Drosophila melanogaster: one gene and its partner. The protein of the gene in region 1 interacts with the protein of each later gene in a pairwise test. Each region holds a gene or a part of one and is shown in the gene's direction. Other genes may lie near its edges.

What was found.
Region 2: the proteins of E(spl)mgamma-HLH (region 1) and ase interact in a two-hybrid assay, tested with the Drosophila melanogaster proteins (one study listed by BioGRID).

The regions. Positions count from the first base shown.
Region 1 is NT_033777.3:25,991,983-26,008,811, forward strand, and holds E(spl)mgamma-HLH (enhancer of split mgamma, helix-loop-helix), read left to right. Parts: upstream 1-7,868; 5' UTR 7,869-7,960; coding exon 7,961-8,578; 3' UTR 8,579-8,779; downstream 8,780-16,829. Other genes in the region: Nf1 (neurofibromin 1), read left to right, coding at 418-507, 826-1,028, 1,091-1,277, 1,337-1,502, 1,683-1,804; CG43116 (uncharacterized protein), read right to left, coding at 4,192-4,549, 4,771-4,910; E(spl)mdelta-HLH (enhancer of split mdelta, helix-loop-helix), read left to right, coding at 5,750-6,271; E(spl)mbeta-HLH (enhancer of split mbeta, helix-loop-helix), read right to left, coding at 13,324-13,911. UniProt on the Drosophila melanogaster protein: Transcriptional repressor of genes that require a bHLH protein for their transcription. May serve as a transcriptional regulator of the Achaete-scute complex (AS-C) genes. Contributes to the neural-epidermal lineage decision during early neurogenesis.
Region 2 is NC_004354.4:450,505-467,522, forward strand, and holds ase (asense), read left to right. Parts: upstream 1-10,242; 5' UTR 10,243-10,451; coding exon 10,452-11,912; 3' UTR 11,913-12,672; downstream 12,673-17,018. UniProt on the Drosophila melanogaster protein: Involved in the determination of the neuronal precursors of optic lobes in the central nervous system.

The DNA.
Region 1 (16,829 bases):
ATATATCCCATCTACTATGTAATATCAACTATCTATTGAGATCAGCCGTTGCATAACTAATAATCGTTCAATGATTTTTTTCTTTCTCTTTTTATGTTTGATTTGAATATAAAAAAAAAACGTTACATATAAATCACAATGTATACTCGTTGAAACCATATTTATGCCATAATCTGCCTGCCGAATCTTACATCTAATTGGTGCTTGTAACTCTCATCAATATCGATATTACTATATGTCCTATATGAACTCCAAACTTGTAACTGCCACCTGCCACTTCTACTACTACTACTACTACTACGCATGAACATTGTCATTTGATTTACGTTTGATTTGGTTACCGAAACCCGCTAAAACTACAACATCAACACTGTGCAAAATCAACAACCACCCCGAACACAAAATTAAACTCCGTAGAACGCGCGAGTTTTGTTCAAAACTCAACGCTCATTCTCGGTGCCGACGACCAAAGATCCGAACAATGCCACCGGCATCGAAGAACGTCAGGTACTGCTCAACAAAACTTATCTCTTAGCTAAGACTAACTAACTACTACCCCACTAAATCAAATGTTTAAGTTTGCTACTAAAACCCATACTAAAATGAGGTCATTAATGTTTCGCTGTAATGTCATTTGTTTTGGTTACTCTTGCATGGCACCGAATGAAGGCAGTCAAAAAGCCGTCCAGTTCACTATACCCATTGCCAAAATGCACAATTCGGATATATCGTAGATCTTTCATCTTCACTAGTACTTTTTTACCATATCTGTGTGTAATTAAATATCACATCAATTGTATTACAAATCAATATGTATTTGAACAGGAACGCGGTTCGCGTTCGTCGGTGTCCAACGAGTCCAACGTACTGCTCGATCCCGAGGTCTTACCTGACCTGTCCATTCAAGCCCTGGTACTGACTGTTTTGGCCACCTTGGTCAAGTACTCTTCGGATGAAGGCGAAACGCGGGTTTTGTATCAGTATTTGGCCGAAGGATCGGTGGTCTTTCCAAAGGTGTTTCCAGTTATGTGAGTCTATACAATTCTAACGTTTTTCGACAAATTTTATTTTAATATGTTTGATACCGTAGCCATTCACTGCTGGACCAAAAGATAAACAACATTTTGTCAGTGTCACACGACCAAGTGGTGCTCAACTCTGTGCAGAACATTATACAAAATATGCTGGCCAGCGAAGATCCTTCCCAGCAGCAGCTGCACTTCCTGCAGAGTTGTGGATTTGGCGGACTCTGGCGATTTGCTGGTCCCTTCACCAAGGTGGGTGCTTTAAATGCGTATTCCGAAGAATATATGATTTATTTTTGATTGATTTTTAGTACAATATGATGGGTGAGTCCTCGGAGCTGTTTGTCAACTGTTTGGAGGCCATGGTTGAGACCTGTTTGCCAGGCGACGAATCCGCGCCGGTGCCACCATCTCCGCGTCCATACAACCTGAGCTCCAGTCTGAGTAGCCTGACCCTGGGATCACCCACGGATAAAGGTTAGTATCCTGTAGATTTATCTTTAGCTTTTGCCCAAGCTATACCGTAATGCATTCATTGCTTTAATCTATAGCGTTTATTTTTCAATAGCAAGACCCATTGAATGAACACAGATTTTTACAAACAGTATTTACTCAAACTTAACCTTTTCTTTATATCACACCAATTGCGATATATAGCATTCTCATCGGAATCATTAGATTTTTATGACAATTGCCCAGGCAGCGTCAGCAGCCTGCGACGCGCCTCACACAGCAAATCACGCGCCAAACATCGAATTAACGACAGTCCATCACATTGAACGTTCCACAAGTAAAATACGAAAATATTCAAACTGCAACTTAAGACAACATAAGAATAGCTGAAAACAATGCAACAAAATAACACCATGATTGGGAAACATATGTATTTCGTAGTTATATAAGCTTTGCCAAATGGAATTATTGTCCCAACACTCCAAACGATTTCACTTTTGTAATATCGAACACAATATCCAATATGCAAATTGTTAATCTCAAAAAAAAAAAAAATCCAATGAATTTACACTAGATAATGCACCTTATCCTACACGCATTAGCAAATTGATGTTGAAGATTTGAGAATTATATTGATGATAAATCTGGTACCTTGAAGCATTTACAACATATTTTCGACATAATGTAGGTGAATTGAAAGCACCTTTTGTAGCGTAGAGTAGTGTTGTCATAAATATTTGTTGTTCAAAAATTAAAACACACAGTCAAAAAAAAAATAATTCACGATAGCTAAATTAAAACAAAGACCCAAAATATATTTCTGATAAATGCATGCCAAGAGTATATAAAACTAATGCAAGTTAAAATAGCTGAGAACCTTTAGTTATCGGTAGCTGCTAATTTAGCTAAAAACAATTACTAGGCACAGAAAATACATCAAGATTTTATATATTTTCATTGACAACTATATTTTATACGAGCCAATAGATAATTGAAGTAAGTCTAAGTAAATTGAATAATCTTCACTGCTTCTTTGCCCCAAATATCCTTTCGCCCCAATTTGTTCTTCCCTCGATATGTTTATGCAAGTTTTGTCTTACTTTCAGCTGCATGAATAACAACTACAAACCCGCGCACTAGACGTACCACACTTATCGCAAAAGTAATGCGTTTCCTAAATCTGCTTAAAAAGTGCTTTTAGAGAACGTGAAAACCCCCACAGAATGTCGTACAAAATCATAGAATATTTATATATATATGTATGTATGTATGTATAGAATGTCCAGAAGCGATGACCACTGAATGCGAAAGAAGGAAATGAACGCGTGTATTGATGTATGTAAACAGAATGTATATATTTGTATGTGTAGAAGGGAGTGGATCGAGGATACTATAAGCACCGTAGAAGAAGATATCGAATGGAAATATTTTTAAACGATTACCGATTGTACATTTTAATGCTTGCAACCCACAACTGCAACTAGGCACACCAAGTCCACCAGTTCCTCAAAGGATGACCGCGACCAGGCGAAACGGAGTTAACCATGAAAGCGATTAAAGGCAAAATCAAACGAAACGAATACAAGAACAAGAATAACTTAAAGCTTTAAGAAGACGGCATGTTGCACATGTCGTTTGCATTACTTTGTATTATAGATGAATCTCCCCGCAGCAAATGTATCTGATGGCATTTATTTTTTTTTTTTATTCTATATAATTTTACTTTTAAACCAAGTTCACCTCTCTCATTAGTCCTTACTAATTTATTTCATCAGCACATTTTCCAAGAAATTTCCGAAACACCAAAAACTAATCGATAATAAGCTTAAAACGACCCAGTCCGCTTTAAATATAATTTAGTTTTAAGCACAACAAAGATTTTAATCGAAATAGAAATGATAAGCGAAATGAATCGAACCAAAATAAAAACTTACGAACGTTACACATTTGTACCTCTTATTAAACAATAAACGAAGCAAATTAGTCCGTTACACTTACTTTCTAGCACATGGATTTTAAACTGTATTTGGCGTTATCCGCATTAAACAAGAACATTTTTTTAAACTAGATGCGCAAAAATGGAACTGGATTCTATACATTATTATTAATCTAAATGTATATGTGTGTGTTGCTATATGTGTATTAAACGAATATGTATCTTTGTAAATTACAGCCACTTGAAGATATTTATGAAATGTTAATGTCCCAAATTTATCAATGTACAACAATATCGAACAAATGAATATACTTTCAATTAAAATGTTTATTGAGTATCGGAACGATTCTTTTATTGGGAAAGATTAAAATTCGGAACGATTCTTAATTTTTGTTTTATGATCCTTGATCCTCCTCTTCTACTTTCAAAAGTAGGATGATTCATCATTGTCAACAGATTGAAATCTCTCTCTTAAAATCTTTCCCTCATGGAAATTGGCGCAATTGAAATCCCTGTTTTTGCATATGGCTGTCTTCCTTAAGTCGTCCCAATACCCATATCAAAACATTGCCACTCTGATGATCTCAGAAACCTCCCCCACGAAGAAAACTGGAAACGAAATGTACGAAATCAGTGCCATCAGATGTCAGCAAATGTCGCCGGTGCCTTGCTGCACTGTTTGTTAACTTCTCGATTTCATGGCTGCGATTGCAGCGACCCCTGGTCTTGGATTTGAACTGGAACTCACCCTCGGGCAGGTGGATTTCGTCAATGGCCCTATCCCCGAATACCCAATCTCGCAAAATGCGCCAAACAAGTGTCACAGCTGACCGAGGCCGAGGAACCGGGCAACCGGCAGCAGAAGTGCGGCACAATCCCAATACTTGTGGGAATGTCTCCAGTACACTTTCTCACGATGCACATGCACCGACCGACCCATCGCAGCACCGGCTGTTTGCCGCTTGCCTGGGTGGTGCTATGCTGCCGTCCCGTTGGTGGTGGTGGTTGTTGCGGTGGTTGCTGCTGCTGCTTCTGCTGCTGATGATGGTGCTCCGTGCCCGTAAGTGTAACGCAATGTCGCGCCAAAGAGGAAATGAGGTCTGTGTGACTGTGCGCCAAAAGGGAAGAGGCCACACTGCAAGAAAATTCGAACTCTAAACTAGCAACTTATAAAGATGGCTTATAAAGACTTCGGGATTGCATTGCTTTTAAAGCAAAGTAATGCAAATTATAGTTTAGTTACAGAATTTAATATATTATTTATGCACATTTTGCATATTTCTGAATATTATATTTCAGTTTACAAAACAACATTTTTTCCAGTGCACCTGCACGCATACAAGCAGAAACCCACACCCATATGCAACAATGGCATTGCCTCGACAAGATTGGCTCTTTGGCTTAAGTGAGGACGGCACGCATGGGGCTCGGCTCTCTTTTCTCGAGGGAAGTGGGAACCAGGGAGCACGGATGGCTGCCAGGCAGGTCGAGGTCATGTCGCTGCTGATGTCGTGTGTGCGTGTGGTGCGCTGCTGGTGGTGGTGGTTGATTGCTCCGACTCTTTCCTCCTGCTCTTCCTCGGAGACCCTTCTTCAGACTGTTGCGCCGGCGCACGGCAACAGCACGAGGAAGAGAGACGCCCGAAGAGAGCGCGCTACTAGCTCGGGCGAAGATCCGAAGAACGTGTTATTGGACCCTAGTCAATACACTGAAAATAACTTTAAGGCATTCTACTATTATGACCAAGGTTAAAGAAGCTTTGATTAAAAATAAATTAATTTCTAAATATATAAAAGTTTCTAAAGTACAATAAAACTATTTTTTCTTTGTTTATACTTATCGTTGTAAGATACTTTAGATGCATGAGAAACTTTGGTTTCCAGAATGGACATCCAAAGAGTATGCTTCGAAACTTGTATATTTTAAAAGTAGTTTATATAAAGTATAGATTTTAAAAATTGTTCTCTGCCACATATGGATTGTTTTCAGTGCAAGAAGAGAGCCTCAGCGGCTTCCGCCCGATCCAATTTTTTTGATGTTGCACACGTGCAACGCCGAGGGAATCTTGCCACAAGCAGAGAGTGACCCGATTGATGCTTCGTTGTGATCGTCGGCGTGTAGGAGCGTTGTGATCGCAGTGCGTGGTGGCAGTTAGGGGAGGATTTCGATTTCGCAAGTGTACGGCACCAGCAGCTACAAAAAGGATCAGCTTACCTTGCGGCAAGATCATTTCTCAAGTGACTACCGTGCAGTGCGGAGCGGCAGCAGCGACATCGCAACATCGCAACTTTATTTACAAACAATCACCACACCAAATCAAAACCCATTATACACAATGGCCGTTCAGGGTCAGAGATTTATGACCAAGACTCAGCATTACCGCAAGGTGACCAAACCCCTCCTGGAGCGCAAAAGACGCGCCCGGATGAACCTGTATCTGGACGAACTCAAGGATCTCATCGTGGACACCATGGATGCGCAGGGCGAACAGGTCAGCAAGCTGGAGAAAGCTGACATCTTAGAGCTCACCGTCAACTATCTGAAAGCGCAACAGCAGCAGCGAGTGGCCAATCCTCAATCCCCACCACCCGACCAAGTTAACCTGGACAAATTTCGGGCCGGATACACCCAGGCTGCCTACGAGGTCTCGCACATATTCTCTACGGTTCCCGGCTTGGATCTCAAATTCGGCACCCACCTGATGAAGCAATTGGGTCACCAGCTCAAGGACATGAAACAGGAAGAAGAAATCATCGATATGGCCGAAGAACCAGTTAATCTAGCCGACCAAAAACGTTCAAAGTCTCCGCGAGAAGAGGATATTCATCATGGCGAAGAAGTCTGGCGCCCCTGGTGAAGGGCATTCCATATATACGCAACCAATTAACATTGATAGCTTTACTACTCAGTTTCATTAAGAAACAATCCAAGTTTTCCAAGGTCTAGTGTAAACATTTGCCTCAGAATCGTATTTAGTTGGTAGTTGATTTGATATGATGTGATGTTCCTGTGATAGTTCTTAAGTTCGTATTTTGTATTTGATCTCCCATAGGCTTACTGATTCATGTATTTAATTCATTGTAATTTATTTCATCAACTTTGCAAGAGCTTCCCCACCGAGCTTCCACTTAGCCTCATTAAGAACAAATTTTTGTGTATGTTTTAAAATTATATTTTTCGCTTTACACCATTAAGTATAAGCCATGAACATTTGAATAATAAAATGAACGTAAACTGAAATTTTAAAAGCTTTATATTATTTGGAATATGAACATAAACAAGGTTGCTATAATCCATAGGTACATAGGTACAAAATGTTATAATATATATAATTATTATATTATAATTATAATTTATAAGCTCTTATTTAGCTTTCTTCGATATAAAAGATATATCAGATATATTTAAATATATTTCTAAAATCTAATTTGAAATATATAGAAAATATATATTTTCCTTGGAATTTTAATAATTTATAATTCTAAATACCAAATACCGTTATACTGTCCACTTGAATTCAAGTCAATTGAACTCTCCCCACTCCGTTTACAAATCCCTGTAATGCACCACCCATCCAACCATCCATCCATTACAAAGGTCCTGGAACGCGAGCAACTTACAGCCGAAAGTGTGTCCACAGCGAGCCACACGCGAGCAGCGCTCCAGGATCAGCATCGCTGGCCCCTTTTACATGGCGGATGGAGGGAGAGGCAGAGGTCCTGCCGGGTCGGGGGGATCGGGAAGTCGTACACGCATTAAGCGCACTCGACGCACACGAGCAATGTTCCCACAGGATCATAACAGCCGACCAACAAGTGCAGGATGCCTCTGTCCTTGTCCCTTCCTCTGCCACCAAACACGAACCCGATCCAATTTGGAATGCCAACGGTAAACAGGAAGTTGTCGAGGAATCGCAACGCCTCGTCCTTATCCTTATCCCCATCCCCCGGCGGAGGTCCCCGCTATCGTGGGAACCCCGGAGGACCCCGATGAGATGGCATAATGCAAGCAGTTCATTATCCTTATGCCCCTCACCCTGCCATGCCATAGTCAAATCATAACACACAAATCTAGAAACGGCAGCTGTTCGCTCTGCAAATTCCCATGCCCATGGCCGTGGCCATGCTCGGCTGCTTTTTGCGGGCAGGTGAGCGAGTCGATGTGAGAAACCGAGTAGGAAAGTGTTTCCCACGATCCTGGCAGCGATCCTGCTCCCTGGCCCGTTTGATAAGGGTGCCGGGGCCAACAATAAGAAATCGCCCGAACAATAAGGAGCGGTCTCAAGAAGCGGAAGGGTCGGTACCGAGCAACCCTCATGCCAGCACACGAAGCGTGTCCCCGTCCCTTTTGCTCCTCGAATGCCAGCACACACGACGACGACGACGATCCCTTTGGCCCATTTTTTGGGGGTTGTTTCTGGCCAGCTATATAAGGCCGATCACCGAAGGTCTAGCAACACACAACGACTTCGACTGTCGGAGCAGCAAGAGCTCAAAGAACTCAGCTTACATCGAAACTACAAAAAGAACAATAAGAAACACACAAAATGTCGTCGCTACAAATGTCCGAGATGTCCAAGACCTATCAGTACCGCAAGGTGATGAAGCCCATGCTGGAGAGGAAGCGTCGTGCCAGAATCAACAAGTGCCTGGACGAGCTAAAGGATCTTATGGTTGCCACCTTGGAGTCCGAGGGCGAGCACGTCACCCGTTTGGAGAAAGCCGATATCCTGGAACTTACCGTCACCCATTTGCAAAAGATGAAGCAGCAGCGTCAGCACAAGCGGGCTTCCGGCGATGAGAGCTTGACTCCGGCGGAGGGCTTCCGTTCCGGCTACATCCATGCCGTCAATGAGGTCTCCCGTTCACTCTCCCAGCTGCCCGGCATGAATGTCAGCCTAGGCACTCAGCTAATGACCCACCTGGGACAGCGCCTCAATCAGATCCAGCCAGCAGAAAAGGAAGTCTTGCCGGTGACCGCTCCACTCTCCGTGCACATCGCCAATCGGGATGCCTACTCCGTGCCCATTTCGCCAATCTCCAGCTACGCCGGCAGTCCCAACTCCAATACCAGTTCGACCAGCCATTCCCTGTTGACCACCATCGATGTGACCAAGATGGAGGACGACAGCGAGGACGAGGAGAACGTCTGGCGTCCCTGGTAGATAGGATTACTTCACACCACAACTGAAAAAAAAAAAAACGAAGGAGAGATCATAGAAAGTAAAAGTCTTCCGAGTCACTGGATTTCCACCAGTCGACTCCCACCTAGTTATAAGTAAACACCATAAACACACAAAGCTTTAGATGAGGACGCGCAGTTCATGTGATAACTAAATAAATAATAAATTATATAGCTAAAATTGAAAGATCACGACTTTTTCTGCCACTATCTAGTGACTCACATGCAAATTGCTCAGACACTCCCATGTCCAGACAGTTTCCAATTGTCTGCGGTCTAGAACGGAAACGCTAGAAACGCAATAGCACCTCTCTCTGTCCCCTGTAACTATTCGATCGCCCCACGGATGCACATACACGATCGTCGGACAAAAGAAAGCGAAAACAATGCCAAGGCCGAAACAAGAAGAATTAGGCAGAAGAACGAGAGAAGAAAGAAGTCCAAAGTCCAAAGCCGGGGCTACCGATACCGGGACATAGCCTATAGGCCAGTTGGTGGTTGCAACTCCAACACGTGTGCGGACAATAAGCGAAGGTAACAGAAAATATTAGAGTCTTATCTTTGAGCGTATCTAATCGAGTTACGACAATGTCGCTCAGACTTAGAAGAAAACAAATGGGCATAGAGCCGGCAAGGAACCCGAAAAAAAAACCGAAAACCAAAAAAGGGATCGAGTCATCATTCATCCCGCATCCGTCCTGATTTCGCTTTGTTCTCCTCAATTTTTTGTTGCCGTGATTCTCCCTGGCCACTCGGATAGAAAATCGTGTGCACAATGGTCAAGGTAAGCTATGGGCACATAATTGCTTCGGATCAGGTAAATGACTGCCTTGCCCTAGGGCAACTTTAAGATGGAGGAGCTCCAGCCGGGGACAGGATATCGGTTTTTTTGTTGTTTCTTTTTTATGGGCTCTGCCCGAGCCTTTTTTGATTTTCGTTTTTTTTTTCTGATCTGGCTGACCCAGCATCATTTGGTTATCTGTGTGCCAAGACCAGTAGCCGATTCACAGACGCCTCTGTCTTAAAAATCGACGCAGGGCAGATCGAGGGAATAGTCAACGAGATCGGTATCAGGATTGGCTTGGGACTAGTCTGTGCTGGCGGGGTGTAATAAATTTAAAAAGGAACTAAATTTATAGAGATTTTTCAGCTGATTAAAATTCTGTTAACTTGCTAAAGCCGAAAGTAGATTATCTTTAAGAAGATCTTCTTCACAACAGCCCTAAGTGTTTATACTTAATTTTACATTTCCGTCCTTTTTGTTTTCTTGTGTGCCAGCAATTATTTATGGAAATTAATAAGATTTATAGCTTATGGTTACTAGCTTATAAATAACTAAAAAAAAACGTTTATAATTTTTTAAATTGTTTAAATCCTTCTGAGATATCCTTTGTAGATAATACGCTAAAAATATTTGTATTTCACTTGCAAATTCTGTGTAATCTTAAACCCTATAATGTACTGAACAAGATCATTTCCTTCAATGTTTGGATGTCACTTCCACCCTGGGATAACATAAAGTGTAATAATGGACACTCCTTAAGAGCCATGTTAAATTATAGCTCACTTTCGATCCTAGGCCATTCCTGGATGATCCGATCAAGGCGACACAACTATGGACTCGACAATAAGAGGACCAACACCAATCCAAACCAAACCAAGCAAGCCCAGTTGTCATACCATACAATGGGCAATAAGAAAAAGTCGGTTATAGGGACATGCGGAGGAATCGCACCCAAAATGCCAAAAGGAAATGCTGGCACAAAAGATACTTAATCTTATAGGTAAACCCGATGAATGATGAACGAATGGCGGCGACGTAACCGAACCCCCGATACAGCAATCCGGCAATCCGGCGATCGAGCTCGAACGCAAGCCCAAGTCATTAAAAACTACAATACACAAACTGCATACGAATCACTCGAAGACCGAGGCCCAAAGAAAGGGTCTTATTTTTTAGGTAGGGGAAGGGACTGAAGACTGAAGACCGGGGACCGTGGCCAGAAAAAAAAAACTAAATATCAGAAGCGAAGATCGTGAGAAAATGGTTTGGAACGTGGTTCTCACACGATCGACACACCTGCCCTTTTTTGTATGTGTGTGTGTGTGTCTGGCTGGGCCACCACTCAATGCGTGTGTGTGTGTGTACTTTTACGAATTCAAGATACAAGACCACTTACGGGCAAGATCACGACCGACTCGAGCTGCGGCTATATGGCTATGGATCGACATGAAAGAGAAAAGCAGCGTGCGGTAAGTGTGTCTCAGTCGCAGACTCAGCTCAGCTTCAGCTTCAGCTTCGACTTTTGTGCATTGGCCAACATTGTAATGACTGTGGACACACGATCGTTAAGAGCGCGCCGTGTGATCTGTGAAGGAAAAGGGGTACGAGGTGTTTCAGGGGCTACAACTATGGGTTCGGGGTTCGGCGCATGCGTCGCTGTTTTGTTGAACGAACTCAATTTAGTTGGTTTATGACCAAAAAGCGAGAGCGAGCGGGATGCACGAGGAGATCGGTTATGGTGATCGGAGTGGGAGATGCTCGTTGGGGAGTATGGGAGTTGGGGAGTTGAGGAGTTGGTCGTCGGAGCATTGGAGCGCTGGAGAGGCACCCAACCACACTTATATGGTGTGCTATTGACTCTGTAATATCTTTAATATGGGATGTTGTTACACTACATTGGCACACGCTCTTGCTGCCACTGGACAAGCTGCCCACAGGTTGTGTTTGTATGGGATCGTATGGGGAATGGGTTTGGATATGGGTATGGGAATGGGAATGGGAATGGGAGTGGATGAAGATCGAGGCACGAGTGCCGACTCCATCCCAGTCCCATCCTCCAGCCTCCATGCACAGCCCATTGCCAGGCCGGTTTGCCGCCGCCTCTCTTTTATTAAGTGGTGGTCTTGCGCTTACTTTAATATGGCTGCATTAAACCTTAGCGGCGTGCGGAGTATTATGACTGAAGTAGGTGGCCGGACCCGCGGTGCCTGCGATTGGGGGTCCACCGACACACAGAGGTCACGTGATGGATGACGTGTGGGCTCTACTGTACCTCCTGTCACAAGATACGAAGTGGGTTGGGTGAGGTCGAAAACATGGAATGGGATCATTCAATAATTGCAACCTTTGGTGAAATCTTCAAAAATTATTGCAATCGTTATATGCTGTTTAATAATAGCTATTTGCAAGCTACAGTGTAGAATTTACGAAATATTCTAGTTATGAGCAAACCAATTTTGAGTCATCATTGGCTTTTGTTCCTGAGTTAATCAGGTATTAGATAGATATGGAAATGATACCCACTCTGAAGTCAGCAAACATCACATTTAATAACCTCTTATGAATGACGCACGTTTCGGCAATAAATGAAAACCAAAGCCGACAAGCTGAATGGGAACCCCTCTAGATCAGTTTCGCCAACGAAGCCATCCAATTAGCCCCCGGCAATGGCCAACATTGCGGCACTTAGTCAATCTTGGAGTGAACTGATCGCCTTTCAACTGGTCCATCGCAAAATAGATCACCCATTTTCAGCAGACTACCGTTGAGCCCTATAAATAGCCGTTTTGTAGTCCACAACAAAAAAAAGCACAAAATAAGCGGAGAAGCGCTAACTTGGCCGTCTCGATGCCAATGTTACGTGACTAATAACATTTTCTGAAGATTAACAGCAATCAGCGACGGCTTGAACGGTCCCAGACTCGAGACGACCTGGTAAGTAGTCATCATCATAGTTGTCCGCCAGACAAAGGCGCTGAATCCGAGGTTCCGTAATCGAACCGCACTCCGATACACATACCCCATACCCCTACCCCAATCCCAGCCCCTATCCATACCCATACAGTATTGGAGTTTTAAGACTTAAGTGCCGAGACGGTCGCGGTCGCGGGCTTAATTTGCAATGTCTGACCGCCGGTCCGTCCGCGCATGTGCCAAGCGGTCAAGCGCAGTTAAAGCTGTCAAAGCCTGAACAAAAAAAAACTAAAAAAGAGCAAAATCTTAAAAAAAAAGCGAAACACAATGACCACAATGCTGAGCCATTGACAGCGGAGCCGCGGTTCTCACACTCGGCGGGCCTCATAATAAATGCCGTTTCCTAGAACTGACTTTTTGCTTTATTTTATTATTTAATTGCGACAGCGCCGGCGCAAAACTTCCCGCAGATATACGTATGTATGTTGTATGCCCCCTGAAAGCCCCGCATACCCTCGCAATCCGAATTCTCGGGGCATAATGAGGCCAAGCCGGAGAGACCAGACGATAGTCCGAGTGTGGGAAAATATTCAGCGACTTCCGGCTGTGGGCTCTGCGATTCGGTTCACCACGGAGTTTATCTCCAATTCGTTTCTTGTTTTAAGGGGTTTCTTTTTTTTAGTTGCTTTAGTTTGCGGTTGGACGCCCACTAAATGTCTGGGAAGTCTGAGTAATCAGCTCTATGGGAAATAAGTAAATGCAGAGATTCTTGAGTTGGAATTTCATTTATTTTCATTTCTTTATGACTTTAAGAAGTGAGCAGCAGCCATCTCTATAGCCGAAATTTGAGGCTCTGCTAGAGATGATCGGTGGCTCTGCTGGGCTGCTGGGAAAGCTATTCCTGGGCAGCAATTGATGATCTCCAAGGAGTTCGGTGCGGTTTCAAGTCCAGCACCTCTTTGGGGCAACAAATTTGTAGAAGCCTTCCGCTTGAAGGCGATTCAGGTGAATATCATCCGGAGTCCAGTTGATCACCAGGGACGCCACATGGGGCCAGAGGTGGAGCTGGCCTCGCTGGGCGCCGGGCTGCAGGCTCCGCTCTCCAAGCTGTCGCATTCCGAGGGAGGTGGAGTGACCATAGCTTGATCCTCTACTGGAGCTTGAAGAGGCACTCCAATGGGCAGCGAGGGAACCACCACTTGCAGGTAGTTGAGACGATGGCCAAGGTGACTCATCAGCTGGGTGCCGAGATCCACACTCACTCCGGGTACAGCGGCCAAGGTTTTGGACACTTCATTGGCAGCATGAACGTAGCCAGCACGGAAACTCTCAGCGATGCTAAGCTTGGGATCGGCACTCGGAGACACTCCACCGGTGACGCTGGACAGACGCAGCTGCTTCTGGGCACGCAGCTTCTTCATGTGCTCCACGGTCAGCTCCAGGATGTCGGCCTTCTCCAGCCGGGTGATGTGCTCGCCCTCCTGGGTCAGGCACTCCACCATGATGTCCTTGAGCTCGTCCAGGCACTTGTTAATCCTGGCACGGCGCTTACGCTCCAGCATGGGCTTCATCACCTTGCGGTACTGATAGGTCTTGGACATCTCCATTTCCAGAACCATTTTGTTGTAGTTTGGTTTTGTTTTTTTTTTATTGGGGGTAAAGTAAACTCGCGTAATCCACAGTCGCAACGTTCCACTAGATTCGGACTCGGAGACTCTGTGTGCACGCAACGAAGTCGGAGCTTTGAATGAGTCGGCTGGCTCTGGGATCGGCTTTATATAGCCTCTGCCGCCCTGGGAACTGGACAGTGAGTGCGAGCGGGACACTCATTTTGCCTCGTGCGCGGCCTGCTGCTGTTGCCAGCGGTGGTTTCAGATGGCTTGGTGGTGCTTGGTTGTGGTAGTGGTGGTGGTGGCTTCTGTTTTTTTGTATACTTTTGCCTGTATATGTGAGGGCAATAAAATGACTTGAGCGGGCTGCGCCTTCTCGCTCTCTCTCCCTCCCTCCTTATGTATGTGCTGTGATTGTTATACCGTGGGAAACTGTTTCGCAGCCGATTTCCACGACGACGACGATGACGACGGCTGGCCTGACTTCTTCTGATTGTGCATGCTTGGGGTCTTGTACGATCCCTCGTCCCTCGTCTTTCCGTCCACCGTCTTTCTTGAGCGGACGGACGGATGGACGGGCCGCCTTTAAGAGGTCTGTGCGACTTGGGATCCCAGATACGATGCGAGGCGAGCACATGCCTTCCATCCATAACAAGATGTTTGCATTTCAATTCATTTGTATGGTCGACTATGGTCGGGGTCCGGTCTTTTGGGCTTCAATTCGGTGCGGTTGGGTTCGGTTCGGTTCGGTCTCAAGTCTTGCCATGTGCCTTCACCCTTTTGCAGTAGCTTATGGCACGCTGATAATTGTGGAATCGTCATCGGGCCAACCCGAGACGGGCCAGTGTTTCTGTTTCTTGCTTTTTTGTTAGCGCTTTATGGATCATTGATTGGATCGTGGTAGTCGTGGGTTTCGTGGGACGAGCATTACGCTTTTCGTTTACATGATTATTCTTGATTGTCGGTTGGGGATCGTTTGGGGATCAGCTGCAGTTCGGTTGGGGGTTTTGGGTTCGCTTGGGGATCTTGGGTCGTCGCTCGCTTCTATTTGTAGACAATTACCATAGCGACTTCGGGCTGGGAACCGATCGAAGTCGACGTGTGCGCGAAAGTCGGTTACAATCGTAATGGCTGTTGCCAGCACACGCTATAAATGTTATGGCTCGTGGGCTATACGCGATATATGTATATGTATGTATACACATTTAGCACATTCGGTATTTATTTTTAACGCTATATCGTCGTGATTCATCAGCTTGAGATGCTAGATCTCCATCCGCCGGCATCTGACACATCTCGGATCCTAAGCTCGGGTTTCTCAACATTTAATTAGAAGTGCCGGCGACGATGACGCTCGCTGGCGTTCATTGAAAATGACACGAGCCCGGCTCATTGGCACACAAATAAGGAATAACAAAAGCTCCGAGACGGCAGCTACTCGATCACTATGTGTATATAAATTCAAACTCAAATAAGACAAATTAAGATTGCCCCTCGACGCATTCGAAATGAGCTACAGTTAGCCGAAACAAAGCAGCAACGGTGATAAACGGGCCAAGACACAAACGGCTAACAACTTATCTAACCGAAACGTTTTGTCCGCTGGACCGGGACACTTAAACTGTTGATGTCAAAAAGCTGAATGCTCCGGAAATGCTTAATTGGATTTTATGGGTCGGCAGTGTGTCAAACTGTTCGTCAGAGGGTGGTGGTTGCATTTTTGGGGTGAGTTAGTCGCATGATATTTGCAACAACCAATTAAGAAGTAATTCATATTGGATTATTAAAGAAACAATACTATAAAAAATATGGAAAAAATATTTCAAAAATTTAAAGATTTTTAAAAACAATTTAGCTACAATTGTAGATAACACGTTAAATTAAGAAATATTTTGTAATAACAATATAATCCATTTATATAATCCATTCATTCAACTAGCTTAAATTAAAAGCTAAATAGTATAGGGGCTCCAATTGTAATTCGGAAGTTCCAATTTTCATGTAGTAGCTATAAATGCCTTTAAACGCCACTGAAAGACTTTTCTAGCTTAACAACTGAATCACTGTCGTAACTCGAATCATTAATACCAATTGTAGCAATTAGAGGAAACCCAGTGGACGAGCACGTGCCCCCAATAGAATTCATCGAGTGTGCCCCTATAGCTTGAAATGCAGAAACCTAATCTGCTGCCCATTCCGAAAATATAATATGGAATAATAAGGTAGTTATTTCACAAATTTCATCAGATTCTGCAATGCTCGTTGGGGTGTAGCGCATATGGTCAAGTCGCTTAAGACCAACTGGCCTTTATACACCCAATCATCCAAAGATACAGCTACACATACAAAAAAACATATATCGCGAAGACCTCATTTCTCTCGGTTTATTATTTCTCTTGCTTGCTTTTTTTTAAATTTTGTGCTTCATTTTTTTTTTGTCGATGGCATACGCACGCGCGAATTTCAGTGCCCCCGCGGAGTTGAGCGATCGCCCGAGGGGGTGGAGCGGTAAGGGGCGGGGCACGAGAGCGTGCAAAACTCGGAGATGGAGACCAGAGACCCAGAGCAACAACACCAAGCAGTGTGTATGGCCATAGCGTGTTGTTGAATTAATTTATATCCAACAGTGCGCTTTCAACTTTATTGCGCCGCGAAAAGCAGCCAGCCAAGTCAGCAGTCGTCGGTGGGGCTGCCCCCTCTCAAAAAGCCCCCCGCTTAAGCCCCACTTGAAAGCCCCCCGCAAACCCACAGATACACCACAGCTCACAGATACAACGCACACCAAGGCAACGCCAGACCGTGGGAAACAAACTCGTGCCAGTCGTTTCATTGCTGTCAAATAATATCTTGATGGGGATCAACTTGAAAAGATTGGTTGGGGCTTGGGCCCGAGCTCAGTCCGCCGCTCCGGGTCTCCGTGTCCGTCC
Region 2 (17,018 bases), on another chromosome or scaffold:
TATCTACACATTTCGGAGTGAGTGTATCTGGTTGAACCTTAAGGCTGTCCTGCAAGATTGATGTTAACGGAAAGCGTCGTTTTTCTCCGTTTCTGTCGCTGCATCTCTGTTGTTTATGCAATGTTTAAGTGCGGCATATTTGCTGTGTTGCTGTTGCTTCTGCCAACGTTGCTAGTGTACATTTTATTGCATTTCAATTTGGCAAACCAAGAGATTTCCCCCTTTCATTGGGCCTGACCGGAAAACGAACTCATTTCTGTGATTTCCGGTCAGGCAGGAAATTTCATAATATGAGAGATGGCAAAGAGGGGACCACGAATTTGGGAGGCGATTGGATCGATCGGGAGTTATGCAAATTAGATAAGGATAAGTGTTTGGGCACACGCTCACTCCTAAGTCGCTTTCTCTTTCTCTTACTACGTTCCGTCCCTTTCGCGGTTTTCCCTTCTGGCTGGCTGATCAAAACGAAAAATTATATAATGCAATGATTATTATATTGAGCTTATCTAAACACTTAATTTTGCATTGTTTTGAAAGTCTTATAATTAGTATTACCATTATTAACTACCGATGTTTAAGGTTCGCCAAAATCGAAGACGGACAGTAAAAACCTTACGGTGCAAACGAAATCTATCTGCAATCTGAGAATAACTAATTTGTTTCTTTCGGTGCATCCATCCATTCCTTTCTTATTGGCGCGCGCGCACCTGTAGCGGGAAAAGGAAAGCAGGAAAAGGAGCAGCTGCCTCGATCGAGGGGATACACCAGGATACGCGGCGTCCATGGGCAGGTGCAACATTTACCGTTTCCCCCAGCCGCGGGCCAACCACTGTAGAAAGGGGAGAGGGGGATGAGTTTTAGAAGTATACAAGTTGGGGCACAGGACACGAGCCACGACTCCATTAAAAGGAATCTTTGAAAAAGCCATAACGATGCTGGCTGCTACAGGGTATTTACTTCTGATAAAAGGTGCATTAATTGAAAAAAATATTTCCCATTAAATATTTGATATTCTACATAATGCTTCTTTTATAACATTCAACCTTCTATTGAATCTATAAAATAAGCATGTTGCGACGCATTTTTGTATATGACGAAGCTATTATAAGAACATAAGGTCTTGAATCGCTTTCCTTAAAACTAATGAAACCGTTTCCACTTCATCAGTTGATTTAACAGAAAGTTATTTATGTCCCAAAATATTTTCTTTGAGATAACAGAAGCTGACTCTACATAAAATTCATATTCCCGCTGCGACGATGACAATAATAACATTACACAGTGACAACAAAGCGATGAATTTATGGGATGCAACCCGAGCGCATTCTAGCTGGATTCTAATTAACCCAAAGGCCCCAGTTGTAGATCGTTTAGATATCAAGTAGAAACCAAACAGGTAGCATATTCGAGCTCAAGTCGATGGAACTACTGTGCAGGTGTTTAGGGATGGGAATATAGAACAGTAGGTGGGCATCAATTGCGACTCTTTCAGGTTTCTGATTTATAAGATCATCACCCACTGGTTATATTATGTTCTTGTTTTTGTTTTTTATGATAGATATGGAATCGGGGCGTTTTGTTGTGCAATCAGTAGCATGTGGAAATCAGTTGTAGTAGATGGGATTTCGCTATCGATGACATTTTCAATGAAGGAATCCAAATTGATTTGTTGACGTTTACAGCGGATAAGGCGGGGAGAAGATTCCGGGAACAGAAAAGGAATCTTGAAATCCATCGACCCGTACACCTGTATATATGCCTGGCTAACTGCTTGACTAATTAGGTTGCCTTGTGACTGCAAAAAACCGAAAATTAAGGAAAATTCTCAGCGAACGACAAGGTGGTCCCTTCATCGAGGGAAGCCAAATCAATTAGTCCGACAAGGCAGCCGATGAAAGGGAATCCCCGGTTCTTCTAACCAGCCACCGAAAAATCGAAGGAATGAAGGATGATTTCGAGTTCGGAAGCTTACCTTCCCTTCATTTCCCGGGCTAAATGTGTGGTCTATGCCAATCATGAACTTTACGCGCTGCCTTCATTAGCCGCCAACAATCTTGGACAGTTTATCGCACTCCTTGACCCCCACTCCTATCCGCGTGGCCCAAGAGGTTCTTACGATAGCGCCGAGCTACATCAAACGAAAGAAACCGAATCTGAATCTGTATCCGAGTCCACGGGTCCTCCGGACCGGGGCCCATTATAAAACTGATTTGCGAACTCGAGTTTGAGCAACACTTGAATGCGGAATTTATGCTTGGGTTTCAGAAATTCTCCTAGAGCAGTTCTCAGCCACGCCCCTTGCCCCGACACTAAAAAAAATTCCCAATATGTCTGTTTAGTTTGATTTCAGAAATGTTGGCCGTTCAACAAATTAACAATGGAATAAATTTTCAACTTTTCATTACGCAAGCTTGACTTGTTCAGATGGCTTAAAAAAGTAAACCTTTGTTTAAAAATGCTTTTTTCAATGTTAGCTTTAGGCTTGATAAGATTGGTTTTTTTATGTGTACTTCTGTCTTTTTACCGCTGCCCATGTAACGATCTGGCAAAATGACTTAATTAGTGGGCTGCTCGACTGGTTCGCTAAATGTTAACGAGTCGTTGCGCTCCAGAAAGCAGAACATCTCACTCAGCATTAACAATTAAGCCGGGATTTGGGATGATCAGGCTGGTAGGCTGCTAGCCCGCAGGGTAAAGTAGATTCCAAGATCGGCAGACCTGACGAAAAAATCCTTATCTAAATAGGCGCGTCCCGAAGTACAAATGGTCAAGTGGATAGATAGCTGCCTTACAGGGAGTCTAATTTGTGAACAGTTAAATAAACAAACATGCCAGAGAATCGAATTCAAGATCTTTCGAGACTACTGAAGAATACTTGTCGGCAAAGTCCTCTGATGAAAAATGTTACCTTTTGAGACACGCCGACGTTTTGATAAGGACTCTCAAGTGTGGAGTCTCGTCTCTTACTGAGAGACACGCGACATAATACATAAGATATGTATATGTACATTAATACCAAATCGATGGATCGAAAGTGCTGTAATAATTCGACTCAAAAACAAATAGTATTACTTAGCAGGAGAACGAATAAAATTAAGTTAAAATAATTACGGGTCATAAACTAAAATATAAGATAATAAAAAGCTCATTTATGTTTTGTTTTATAAAACTATGGATTTCTATCTTTACCGAAATCTGTACATTAACCAACACCTTTATCAGATCAGAAAACGGGTTAAAAAAATATCCCCTCTGCCTTGTTAGTCCTTTCGCATTGCTTACAAATTTCTCAGAAGGTCTAATCCTGTGAGAAATTGCATAAAAAACCAAACGCGTCAAAATCGCAAAATTCAGTCGAACATCACGAACTGAAATTTTGCAGCTCGAAAAAAGAGGGGAAATTCATTTTCCCAAAACAAACGTGAGAGAATATACAGGACCAAATGAATTCCCAGAAGCTGGGATCCGTGATTATTTTATCCCATTTTTGTGGCTAAAGCCAAGACAATGCAAAAGGACGCAGGAATCGATGATATATCTTATTGACACAGGCTGAGGCACTCTGAATAGCAATAATGCAATATTTGCGCAATATTCCTGAGCTCTGCAACTTTGAAAATGTTGTGGCTGCAGCTCGAAAAAAATTCGCATTGGCTGAACAAAACAGAAGCCCTTTTCGTGAGGAAAATAAACATTATTTCAGACAGAACCGTCTTCCCTACCTTCTTCAAATGGGCTCATCCAAATGTCCTCATCCTGTTATGTTATTAAATTTCTTACAGTGCACTGCAGTCCTTGGATTTGATTCTATGCCTTGTAAAAACACCCAGCATGTGGGCACATTCAACCGGCAGAACCCAGGATTCAGCCAGGCAAAGTCAACACAAACCGAGAAAGGGAAAAGCAAATATCACGAACTATTGGAAATAAGCAAGGACGAACAATGCGGGGGGAACAATTTTAATTGATCAGAAATACAAACAAGTGCAAAAAAATCACGCAACAATGCCAGAAAGAAGTTTTTTGAATGGCCAAGCATGCCATTGTTTGCTTGGGGCGTTTGTCCTGTTCCTTTTCATGTTTTGGGTAAACATTGATTCTTCGATTCGAATGTCCAAAGAACAGGGGAGTGATTTGATTTCAGGACCAGTGGATTCATAAAAAGACAAGAGCTCTAGTACCGAAATTAAATTCCATGAAATTGCCAAAGAAAAGGAGTTTTCTGATTAATCTTTTGGAAATAAAGGACTGCGAAATACACAAAAAACATCAAATGCATTTACACTTCTTGGAAAGCAACTAGATATTCTATTTGCGAAGAAACAATTTGTCAACTTGTTCTGCCTAGATATATTCTTTAATATATAGGTTTGCGTACATTTTTTAATTTGACATCTTTTTATAAGCTCTTGTAACTAAGAAATTTTAAAAATTGTTGGCCTGGAAGGCTTATTTATAAACATTATATTATATTATTATAAGCAGCAGCTGGCAAGAACTATGTTTTCGGTAATCTTATCAAAAGACTCATATTTTTCCCCTAGAAACGAATGTCGGTCACAAGTGTCTTATCAGCGGGGAGTTTTTTGGGCCACAGGCTGCAGTGCAGTCGTTGAACATCCGTAGAGTCCTTGTGTGCCGCATGCCAAAAGTGCCGTACCAACGTACCCAATGGTTGATGTCGACAGAATTTAAATTACTAGCTTCGGCGGACTTCAATCGCTGTGTAATCTTGAGCTGAAATTTACTTTTGACGCATTTCGAGCAGCAGCAGACAAGTCCCACTTAAAGGATCACTCGAGTGCATTTAAATCCTCGTCGGAGCCAGATCCTTTCGGCTCTGCCTAACCGCAACTTACCGACCAAAATCAATAGTTTGAAAAAATGCGGAATTAAGGCAAAAGAACTCAACGGTGCGTAAATTTTTCTATTTGCCAATTTGCCTGATAGCAATTGAATGAGTTTATAAGTAGGCAATCAACGCTGAAAACAAATCACGAAAAAAGGAATCAACGAGACATCACAAGAAACCTAATCATTAGTATAGCATAGTAGTCGAAAAGGGGTTACACATAATAGAAACAGAAAAAAATCGTCCTTCTTTGTTGCGAAAACTGCAATTCAACTTCATGAATTGCAAAAGTAGGTTAAAGCGGTTCTGCAAAGGAAAGATATGGCTAAATTCCCTGGTCTACTATTATCCGACTCAACAAATCTTAAGCAGTATTTTTTAAGTGCTGTAGGCTTTTCATATCACAAAGCAGAAAAGATCTTTAAGAATTTGATCAATAAATTGCCCTTAGAAAATAAACATTTTACAGAACTTCATAATATAAATCTCTTAGACTCATTTTAATCCTTTCAGGTTTTTTCTTCGGCTACGACAGCATCCAATACAGCTTCCTTATTACAATGGTTCAAGTATTCAAAAAATTGTTTTCATATTTAAGCAACCAAAGTAGTAGTAGAGTAGAAGTAAAAACCTCCTAGAACTTTTACCATATACCAATCCGGGGTGGGGTCCGACCCAGAGTCACCGCCTATCCAACTAGATGGTACAAAGGCGGGACGCAACCAGTTCAGCAGACACCTGCGACTGGCACGGCTTTAAGCCTTAAAAACTGGCAGCGCGTGCGGTCAGCGGGCTTGCAAGTTGAAGGGGTTGTTAAAATGGTACAGGATCGTGAATTTCAATAAGGTAAAGGGGTCGAGGGGATCGAAGGAACTGAAGACACGCGCTCAGAAATATGTCTGTAAAGCCCGAGTGGGCAAGGTTATTTTTTTTCACAAATTAAAGAATGTCGTTCGTAGGGCGTAGATAACTCGTGAGCTGTTTAATAAAAATTGTACAAATTGTATTTTTTCTAGTTAGTGTGGCTAATAATGTATACTCTCGCATGATATTTTTAGTCAGAATTACGTTAAGTGCATGTATATCCGATCATCGTTTTAGGGAAGTGTGTGAAGAGTGAATTTTGACAAATTTGCATTGCCGCCGGCTTTGAATCCTTTATAAAAAACCGTTGCGCATGCGCATCCCACTGCCCCGCCACCGCCCTCTTTCACCAACGCCAACAGGTTTCTGAACAATGACTTCCACCCTCCCGGCATTTAATTTAATCGGCTACTCAAATATAATTTTTATTTCACTCCCGATTGTTCACAAAAATAAATGTGCTCATTGTTGCCGTGTTTGTAGAAAATTTCGTAACCAGTTGCAATCCTGTTGCTCCCGATTCTCGAGGATTCACCCTCGAACATAAATCATCGGGCTGCACAACAACCCATATGAAAGTGCAAGGATGCTTTTACGTCGTCCTGGGGTCACGTTGTCATCACATATATATGAAGTGAAAAATAGTTTAGGACTACATAGTTTTTAAAACTATGTAAGAGGTGTACGGATCGAGAGAACTACACAAATTCAAGCCCATATGGATTGATTCACGAGTTCCACCCACAGGCTGAATTGCCGATTTTCAGGCAGCTTTTGCTGTTGGTCGAAAGTTACCAGCGATCCCTAACGCAAACACCCCTAATCCTGCCGGAACTTAATGCCCAGGACCTTCCTGTTGGCATTGTTTGCTGGCACAGGGGTTGCTCTAAAGGGAGCGAGACAGCAAGCGTAGAAAGAGATCTGAGTTCAATCGCAGAGCAGAAGAGACGAAGGGCAGAGCTGTTGAACGATTGCTGTGCAGCAGGAGCAGATGTTTTTCGCGGCAGAATGACGATGCAGGATCGCTGGCGATCAGCGACCCCAGCACGGGACACGATACATACGGAATATACGGAGCTCTATGTATATGAACATAACAAAGGGCATTAGAGCGGGAAGGGGCTAACGACAGGGAGCCAGAGCAAATGCGAGGGAGATCCACAAAACTTGTTTTTGGGATAAACTCAAATTAGACCAAGAAATCATTTAACGTGCAATAGAAATTTCGAGGTATGTACGAAAATGTAATGTTAAAAGGCCTGCCTTAGCTATAAAATATTTTCTCATTTTTAACGTATGCTTAAATGAACATACACCGCACATATGTACATATACTCTTAGCTTTTCCACTGTGTATTGCCTAAATTATAGTCCTCCCTTATGTACCCTTAAGCCTCGAGCGAAATATGTCCAGATTTGATCAGGATCGATACCGGATAAGATAGAAACAGCACCTAGCTCAAAAGAGAGGGGAGCAGTAGGGGAAGAGAGTAAGCGAGAAAGGAGATGAGAAAGGAAAAATGAGAAGCCAGGTGAGGGTGAGGATAATTTATTATTGCTCGGATACCCCCGAAAGCGCGCCAAAGGTCCCCGATACCCTAAAATCCAAAGACCATGCGTTTGGTCGAAGTGTCCCCGACACACAGAGAAAACTATACAACACGTACGCACTCTTCGACTGTTTAAAAATGGATTAATATAAGATGGTGTCCTTAGTTAATATAATAAATATATTACAAAAATATAAGTGTTTAAAAAATTTGAATAATGCTTGTAATATTAGATATCACTATAAAAGAAGAAAAGACGTGCCAATCCGGCTACAAAAAAAGATCCATTACAAGAACACGACGACGGAATGCGTATTTATTTCTTGCATGATTCACCACATTTATTTCAAGATGGTTTTTTTCTGTGTAGGATCTCAGGTAGAAGACACACAGACACTCACTCACATTTATGTAGAGCACAAGGCACGTGCGCGATCTGAAAACAATTTACCACTCCGATCAGCGTGAATTGTGAGTTTCACTTTAAAGTCGAATGCAGTTTTTAAATAGAAACTCGCTATTTCCCCATGTATTGTTTAAAAGAGGTATTAAAACAGCCCGCACCCGCTCATTTTTGCTGCAAGGACGGGACACAGTTTGCCGCTAAATAAATAGCAGAAATGATTCGGGAGTAACTCTTTTCCTTAATTTTTTGGCTAATTTTATTTAGTTTATAGTTAGAAAGAGTTACATATCTGTACACCGGTCACTTGTAACTCGTTCACGATCCGATGGGGGGAATATGTAATAATTAGAAGGCATCGTCACAAACATTTCCTTAAACAATGTCCCAAAAATGGTGTTCACCCGTAGAGCGAGTCCTTTTGTGTAGTTCTCGGCTGGGGTCCTTTCACTTTTCCCCCAGTGCTTGACTCCAAAGTTATTTCAAGGACTTCCACGGAAAGACTTCCGTTCCATCAAGTTTTCAACACTCATAACTCGAAAGACGAAATAATAATATGAAAAAACAAGAAGCGGTAAAACAATTTATGAACGAACAACTGTGCACAGATGCTAAATGATGAAGCATCCTAAAGGATCCACTTGAGTCAACGACGAGTACACACAGAATATGGGCCCAGGACATATTCACCCGGCGCCTTTCTCCGGTTACAAAATGGAAAAAGAAGAGGGAACTTAAATTTTGGAAAATCAAAGCGACTTGCATGCGTTGGCAGATTGATTTACGATTTTGGAGGGTCAAGCCAAATAGAACGACTTCAGGTTTCAGTAAATCATGGAGGATCCAGTATGTTTCCACGCTAGCGTCAATTCCGTTTACTCATCTGTTTCATTACCATTTGGCGTTTCTCTCGTCGAAAGATATTTTCCCATTGAAATCAATGCGTTTTTAAAATGCAAATAAACCAGAAACCAGAAACCATTCATAAATTGTATTTGCCTAGATTGGAACATTTCGATCCGCCAAAGATAACAGCCAAAAAAATATATAAAAAAAAGAGTGACAGGACTACAACGCAGGTTCTTAATTTTACGAACGTGGGAGTAAATTCGAAAAGGTATGCCGCGTCTTGGGGCAAAACTTTTTTGAAACCGTTTACATGTAATATTTTTGGAATCGCTACTTTTATGTATGGTTAATTTAATTATGAACTATTTTCTTGCAGTGCACGAAAGGCGTGGCTGGGGCAAGGAACAGTTCCTTGAGATGAGTGCTGCGATGCGTCGTCAAAGTGGGACGCAACCGAGTCAAATCCTCTAGGACAACAAAGGACGCCGAGCAGTACTTCCCAGTACTCAAATACTCCTCAGTACGCACAAGCGTTGACTCCTTTTTCTTTGAGAGCTCGTCTGCATAATGAGGAATGAGGACGTGGCATCCTGGATCAAAAACCGGTAGTCGGTCGTCGCAAGTTTCTTCTCCCCGCCGGTTATCCTGCGCTCAAGTCCTTTTCCTTGAACCTTTTAAGTGAACTCAAGTTTATAAATTGTGCAGCAAGTACAACACACACACATATGTATACTCCTCTATTTACTCAGGTTTGTTGGAAACTACCTGAGAGGAAGGATCAAAAAAGTTTATTGTAGCACTCGAAAACTTGTTTGCACAGATAGACCTAAGCTCCAAAAAAAAGAATAGATTATAGAAATAAAGCACTGGTAAAATTATTTTCCCACCGGACTAATTGCCAGAAATTTTTTGCCAGACGTAGAAAAAACAAGAATGTAGAGAAGGATGGGTGATTTCTCACCCCTTAAAGGATTTAAATTGGCTCTCTGGCATCTTGTCAATTTCCAACATAAATTGTAGCCCTGTGAATTACCTAAGACATTACTTTCGCAGTATATACTTGCTGTTTATTAGCTTAACAATAGGAAAATGTTTTTGCCAATGCAAGTCCTGGTAAATATATGTATATATTATCCAGTACGAGTTTTTGAAAAGTTAACAATAGGTGATCCCGAGACATTTTTCGAATGAAGTAGAAACCAGTCCTTGGTTTTAGCTATAAGCTAAAAATAAAGATTCGATGCATTTCTGCGTTTTACATGACGAATATTGGAGGTCTAAGGTGATCTATTAGGATATTTTGCAAATTCCTAGGTGGTAGGGCATTCCTTGAAAACCAGGGCTGAAAAAGCTCCCCAGGGAATATACTTTTTATTATATGCATACGTATATGGTTATTATAATGTCCATATATTAATAGGGGCGGTATATAAGCATAATGTGTTTGCTGCCGATAAATAATGAGAGAGAGCGTGGCGAAATCCACCCTTGAACCAGGTGGACTTTTTGGCTCGAGTTGATCAGATGTTAGTTTTCCCAAAAGCCGTACTGTATATAATATATATATATGATAAAGGTGTATGTGTGAGCGATCGAGAAGGGACACCCAGTCTAGGGGATGAAAAGTCAGGCCCTTTACATAAGGGATACGCAGGACCTCAAATGCCTTCTGTTTTGTATGTGTGTGCTCTGTGTTGTGTATGTCAGTCAACGAAGTCACTTCCGTTGGGTTTGCGTTTTAGTTTGAGTTCGGAGTTTAGGGGCACGCGACACAGAGCGCCAGCAGCTGTCCTGATGCAAGGACACGGAAACCATATTACATCAGTCACCAGTTAACATTCACTCAAGAAGGACTAACTTGCTAAAAGTACACCCGCAATCGCCACCAGTTTTTCTCCCGCCCTCAAAAAGCCACGAATCAAAAAACTTAATTATGGCCGCCTTAAGCTTCAGCCCATCACCTCCTCCAAAAGAAAACCCCAAGGAAAACCCCAATCCAGGAATAAAAACCACGTTGAAACCTTTTGGAAAGATTACCGTTCACAATGTTTTAAGTGAGAGTGGCGCCAACGCCTTGCAACAGCATATAGCCAATCAGAACACCATTATTCGAAAGATCCGGGACTTTGGCATGCTGGGCGCTGTTCAAAGTGCCGCAGCCAGCACAACTAACACCACACCCATATCCAGTCAACGGAAGAGGCCCCTGGGAGAATCCCAAAAGCAGAACCGGCACAACCAGCAGAATCAACAGCTTAGTAAAACATCAGTGCCTGCTAAAAAATGCAAGACCAACAAGAAGTTGGCGGTTGAAAGGCCCCCAAAAGCAGGAACTATAAGCCACCCTCATAAAAGCCAAAGCGATCAGAGTTTTGGGACTCCTGGAAGAAAGGGTTTGCCTTTGCCACAAGCCGTTGCCCGTAGAAACGCTAGGGAAAGAAATCGCGTGAAGCAGGTTAACAATGGATTTGCTTTACTCCGGGAGAAGATCCCAGAAGAAGTATCTGAGGCTTTTGAGGCCCAGGGGGCGGGTAGAGGAGCAAGCAAGAAGCTATCCAAAGTGGAGACCCTCCGCATGGCCGTAGAGTACATAAGAAGTTTGGAAAAACTGCTGGGATTTGATTTTCCACCTCTCAACAGTCAGGGGAATAGTTCTGGTTCCGGCGATGATAGCTTTATGTTTATTAAGGACGAATTCGATTGTCTGGATGAACATTTCGACGACTCGCTGAGCAACTACGAAATGGATGAGCAACAGACTGTCCAACAAACTTTATCCGAGGATATGCTAAACCCTCCGCAAGCCAGTGATCTCCTGCCTAGTTTGACTACATTAAATGGGTTGCAATACATCAGAATACCAGGAACCAACACCTACCAACTGCTGACGACTGACTTATTGGGCGATTTGAGTCACGAGCAAAAACTTGAAGAAACAGCTGCTTCGGGCCAGTTATCGCGATCGCCCGTGCCACAAAAGGTGGTAAGAAGTCCCTGCTCTTCTCCAGTTTCACCTGTCGCCTCGACTGAATTGCTGTTACAGACACAGACGTGTGCCACACCGCTGCAACAGCAAGTAATCAAACAGGAATACGTCAGTACCAACATTAGCAGCAGCAGCAACGCACAGACTTCCCCGCAGCAGCAGCAGCAAGTTCAGAACCTGGGATCGTCGCCTATTTTACCCGCGTTCTACGACCAGGAGCCCGTGAGCTTCTACGACAACGTAGTCCTTCCCGGATTCAAGAAGGAATTCAGCGATATTTTGCAGCAAGATCAGCCCAACAATACAACCGCTGGCTGCCTTTCGGACGAGAGCATGATCGATGCCATTGACTGGTGGGAGGCACATGCACCTAAATCTAATGGTGCATGCACCAATCTGTCCGTTTAGCCGAATTTTTTCACATCACGCATCTCGGAAAAGCCGATTGCATTTTTTGGCATACTTTTTAAATGATTTTAAATCCTCACAGCATAAGTCTGTGGCAGGCCATTCTATCTAAAGTTTTTTTTAATCAAGCCATGACTGAGTCATTGTGTAAATATCAATTTAAGCCGAGAAAGGAGGATAACTTCGGCCAGCCGAAGCTTATATACCTTTGCTGTTAAAACCATGTATTTAATATGAAAGTTCGCACAATTTCGATGAAGTTTATCACAAATTTACGATTTCATCAAGATTTGTATATTCTCCAAATTCTATAAAATATATGTACATTTTTGATTCTTGCTATGGTACTTGTACGTATGATATTGTTGATCGATCCTGCCCGAGTCACCTTTTATATCACCAGACATGCCGATCATGAATATTTATTGATGTGGGGTCGGAAATGCCTCACTGCTACCTTCAGACATATTATAATATCCTCTGAAAGAGTGTGACAAAATGAATGTATGAACACTACATATTTAAAGTCATCTAGTGATATAAACCAAATGGAAATAACCTTGTAAGACCCAACCACAAAATAGTTATCCTGATAAACGGCTTAATGTTGAGCCGGACTAACAGAGTGTCTAGTATATAACAAAAATTAATGTATTTGTGTAACCATATTTTTTTTTTATAGATTTAATTGTAGGAACGTTAAAATGACAAGCAGATAATATATGCTTTTGAATAAATGCAAATAAATATGAACATTTCCAAAAACTTAATTTGTTTCTTGTGGTTTTATTTCTCAACGAAAATTAGGTATATTAAATGACAATTTATAATTTGTACCACATTTTAGAAAAAAAGGTGTTTTATATTTTAGAGAGTGTCTTATGGCACAGTATATCTCCGGTGCTTTATTGACTCGATATTCAAAATGGGGTTCCTTCTGTGACAGAATGACAGAATTCGGATTTTTTTCTAGCGGTTCTTTTTTAAACATGTGCCTTGATTCATAATGACACAAGTAATTAAAAACGCACCAAAATAAATATTAGGGAAATTGAGAGAAAGCGGTTTTAGGGTGAACTATTATTTAGGACCTAACCGGCAACCGCAAATCAAACGAATTGCTTTTAAAAATAGAGTCTAGTCTGTCTGTCCTCATAGAAGTCAAGAAGTGAAAAGCCAAAACAGCTTGAAATTCCAATAGCGGCTACAAACTTGAAGTTGTTTTAAAACCTTGTCATGCTCACCACACAGACCCTCATTAACATTTGGAAAATATTTTCAATGATATTTAAGGGAATGGTAATATATTTTTTTATACAAAGTTGCCAAGCCTTCACGCACGTCTTTTATTTTGCACGATATTTACTCACCCTCACTTTTACTTGGCGCTATACTCTCCTGCCAATTGTGCTCAGGACTTCATTGTCCTGTGCTTACGTGTTCTCATGTCTCTCTACCCGTCCCTTTTTTTGGGACATCTGCCCAAATAAAACAAAACGGAAGAAAAACCAAAAAAAAAAAAAAATAAGAAAGGGCCGGTCCAATGGATATGGATGATGCAAAACTACATAAGACAGGCATACTGTAAGGAAAATCAATTGAAATCGTTTTCCATTAAGAATAGATGGCCTGTGCCAAATGATATTCGCATCTGCAGGATCCGAAAACCAAAGAAATCTAAGTAGTACACTGAGGAAACAACACGATCTATTTTGAGGTCGAAATTACAAGGCGAGGCATTTTTTCCTCCATTACTATTTTTTTTTTTTCGCTGTGTATATGTATGTGTTGGCGCGCTCCTGAGCGCCTGAGATCGCCTGCAACCCCCTTTTTCAACAGTTTTCAGTTTTTCCATCCAGGTGCAAAGGTGTTTTCCTATCATTCTTTTTTTGGTCGTGTGGTGGGTGCGCCGTTCACCGTTAGCAGTGAAAATTGTTCACGCACCGTTATAATTATTAAATATTGGTAATGCGACACGCCCCTCAACCGTACACCTCCGAGTTTGGGTCGAATTTCGCATTTTTACTGTTTGAACTGGGAAATCATTGCCGTTATGTGCGTCTTTTTGTTGTTTGTGTTTTTGGTGAATGTTAAAGGCTTAGCACCGATAAGGAATATGAGCCCTATCGTATCCTTCGATCGGCAGATTTGCTTTCGTAGCTCTGGGTGCTGCAGTCGCTTTAAGTTGTGCCCCCATTATGCCATTTAGACCACGCCTCTATGAATGCATTATTACTGAATGCCGTCTGTTTTTAAGTTCACTTTAGCGTGTGCGCATGCTCTTGCCGCTGACTTGATTGGATTCACCCCTACTTCTCTGATCCACTGACTATCCAATTTCTGGGCACATTGCACTGCAGTTATCCCGGGAACCAGATGCTGCCTTTGACCCGCCGAATCCGAGTTGGCTCGATGGATCTCGTAATTGAGATAGGTGACACGAAAAAAAAAATAATTTCTTCGAATTTTAAATCTTTAATAATTTTTGGAAAACCATGTCATCTAGCAATCATTACCTTCGCTTATTGTATATTCAAAGAAAACGGTAATGGTTTTGAGGTCTGATCCGCTGATCCCCAGTAACCAGTTGGCAAGGTTATATTTTCATTCAAGGATTTCATCCTTCCGTTTCATTCAGCATTGGACCAAAGAGAGACTTCTCTGGCAAATAGTATTCGTAATACTGTGTCTTCCGAAACTAACTGCCGGTCAAGCCGAGCTACTTAGACTTAAGCAGATACTTATACTCGACGGCTTTCAGTTTTTCTAAGTCCTTAAGTGGACGTACTTCAACCCACAATGAAGCACTTAAGTGTGCGCTCCGCGCTCAAAAACCCTAAGCGGGTCAAGAAACCAAGTCAAAAAAATAACTCTGGACAACCGTTAAAACCCAAAGCGGGTTAACACTTTCTAGTACCTCCTGCGGTTCGCCTAAGCCCTCTCCCATAATTTTCCCTACTTTCTACTTCAACCATTGATGATCTGCGAATTGCTAAACAGATCTGAGCCAATTCCATTCCATTTTATTTCCACATCTATACACATATTTCGAAATTTTTAACCACCATCAATTTTCGTTAATTGAGCCCCAAGCAAGATGCTTAAGGATAACACATGTGACTTTCGTCGTCCAGTTTTAGAAGCAATAAGCGAGACTGCTCCCTAGGTCTGGTTGCACATGTTTTCCAGGACATATTTCTAATGTCACTGAATCCACGTCGGCCTCATACCCTGTCGTCCTAGGACTATATTCCCATGTTTTGACTTACGCACCCAGGGTGGCCACTGGGATTATTCTAAGTATGAAGTACAGTATCGGCATTGAGTCACCAGGCTCAATTGTATGACAGACACAATTTTTACTCCCGCTCACTCCAGGGAGCGGTATTTTGTCAGTTTTGCATTGATTGAGATGTCCTGGTATGCAGCTCCTCGTTTAATAGTTCTTTGTTTGGCCTTACCTTCTCTTGACTATAAATGAAGTTGTGTTGGGGAAGCAATACAAGGCCACACATTCCATCCCAAACATATCCCTTTAGAAAATGGCTTTCAGTACTCAACTTCGTTTGATTGCAATGACCACCCATTACGGAATTTCTAAAGAGACTATAAAAAATCATTTTTACCGTTTTTTAAACTATCAACGAGAAATGCCAAGGAATGGCAAGGCAAAATCAAACTGTGTCAGTCTCAAATGGTAAAATATCAAAACTTTAGGTACACGTGCGAGTTTAAAACCGGCGGTCATCAAAGTATATCCTGGAGTGTCACGCATGAAGGACATAGACCACAATCTGATATCCAGTTAGCGTGTTTGAGGAATTCCGCCATAAAAAATAGAACGAATGTGCACAAACTTCCGGATGCCCAAAGACATTGGATTGGGTTGCAGATCCGCAGGTAGTGCCGCTATTTGCCTAGCGCAAAAAGGACAATGACCAAACAGAATTTTGGTTTTCGGGACCTGCTTCATGCCCCTTTTTATGTCTGCCGAAGATGCTAAAGAAGGGTTCATAATTCAAATGCAGCAAGGCAGGAAATACGGAAGAAACCGAAAGGATTTCCGTTTCGGCTCGTTACGTTTTGTAAATTGATATTCGGCAATCGATTGCCTAAAAAAGGGAAAGCCGGCTTCTAACGGCGGAATTCAGCTAATCACAAGAAGAGAAGGCTAACGAATTTCCGATACACCTCCTTTTCATTGACCGCGAAACCCGCGATAAACTGCTACCGATTCCGACACAATAGCATTCGCATTTGTCAGCATCGCAATCTGCATCCGATTAATCGCATTACAAATCGCCCATCGAATGAGGTGTCGACTTAAGATCAGTATAATGCTAACAAATATGAACAGGTACCCAAAATGCGAGCGAAATAAAGTAAAACAGAAAATACCTTGCCAAGGACAGCGGCCTGAATCAATATTATGACATTGCCAGCAGTTTGCAAACCGTCGATTGCCTCGCATTAGCGCATTAACTTGTTGATTGGAAAACCGCAGAATCATAAGCCAAGTCGACTTGTTCACTTGGTTTGTCTATCTGCATTCAAATTTCTTATAGTTTGGCATGTTAGCCAAGTTCGTAGAAACTACGACCGCCCAGAAGGAGAACATTACAAGATGTGCAATTACAATTGTTTTGCAGCTCTATCGGCTACGTGCCTCGCATACGTGTATTTTTCATATTTTTTGGGTTTCGTTTAAACCATTTGACTTAATAAATACTAGAATAAAGAAAAAAAATCACACTACATGGCTACGAAAAAAAAGTATAGATAGTGGTAAAAGTAGGAGTACTAAAAAGGTGAAGAGCACAAACAGTTGCGTTGAATAGTTGGTTAAAAGGATATATAGTATATACGTATACATTATATAGGGGCACCACTCGCTAAAGACCAACAAACAAAAAGGTATTAATCAAATATAAAAGTAACGAGTTAAAAAACGAAAGAAAAATTAATTGACTCTCTGGCTGGCTTGTGCGTTGGGTTCTTATTCGGTGTTTTAGATTTATAAGTTCGTCATCAAGTTTTCGGTTTGGGATATTCATCGGTATTCATCATCTATATACAGGGCTGGATTCCGGTTTCGGGTTCGGGGTT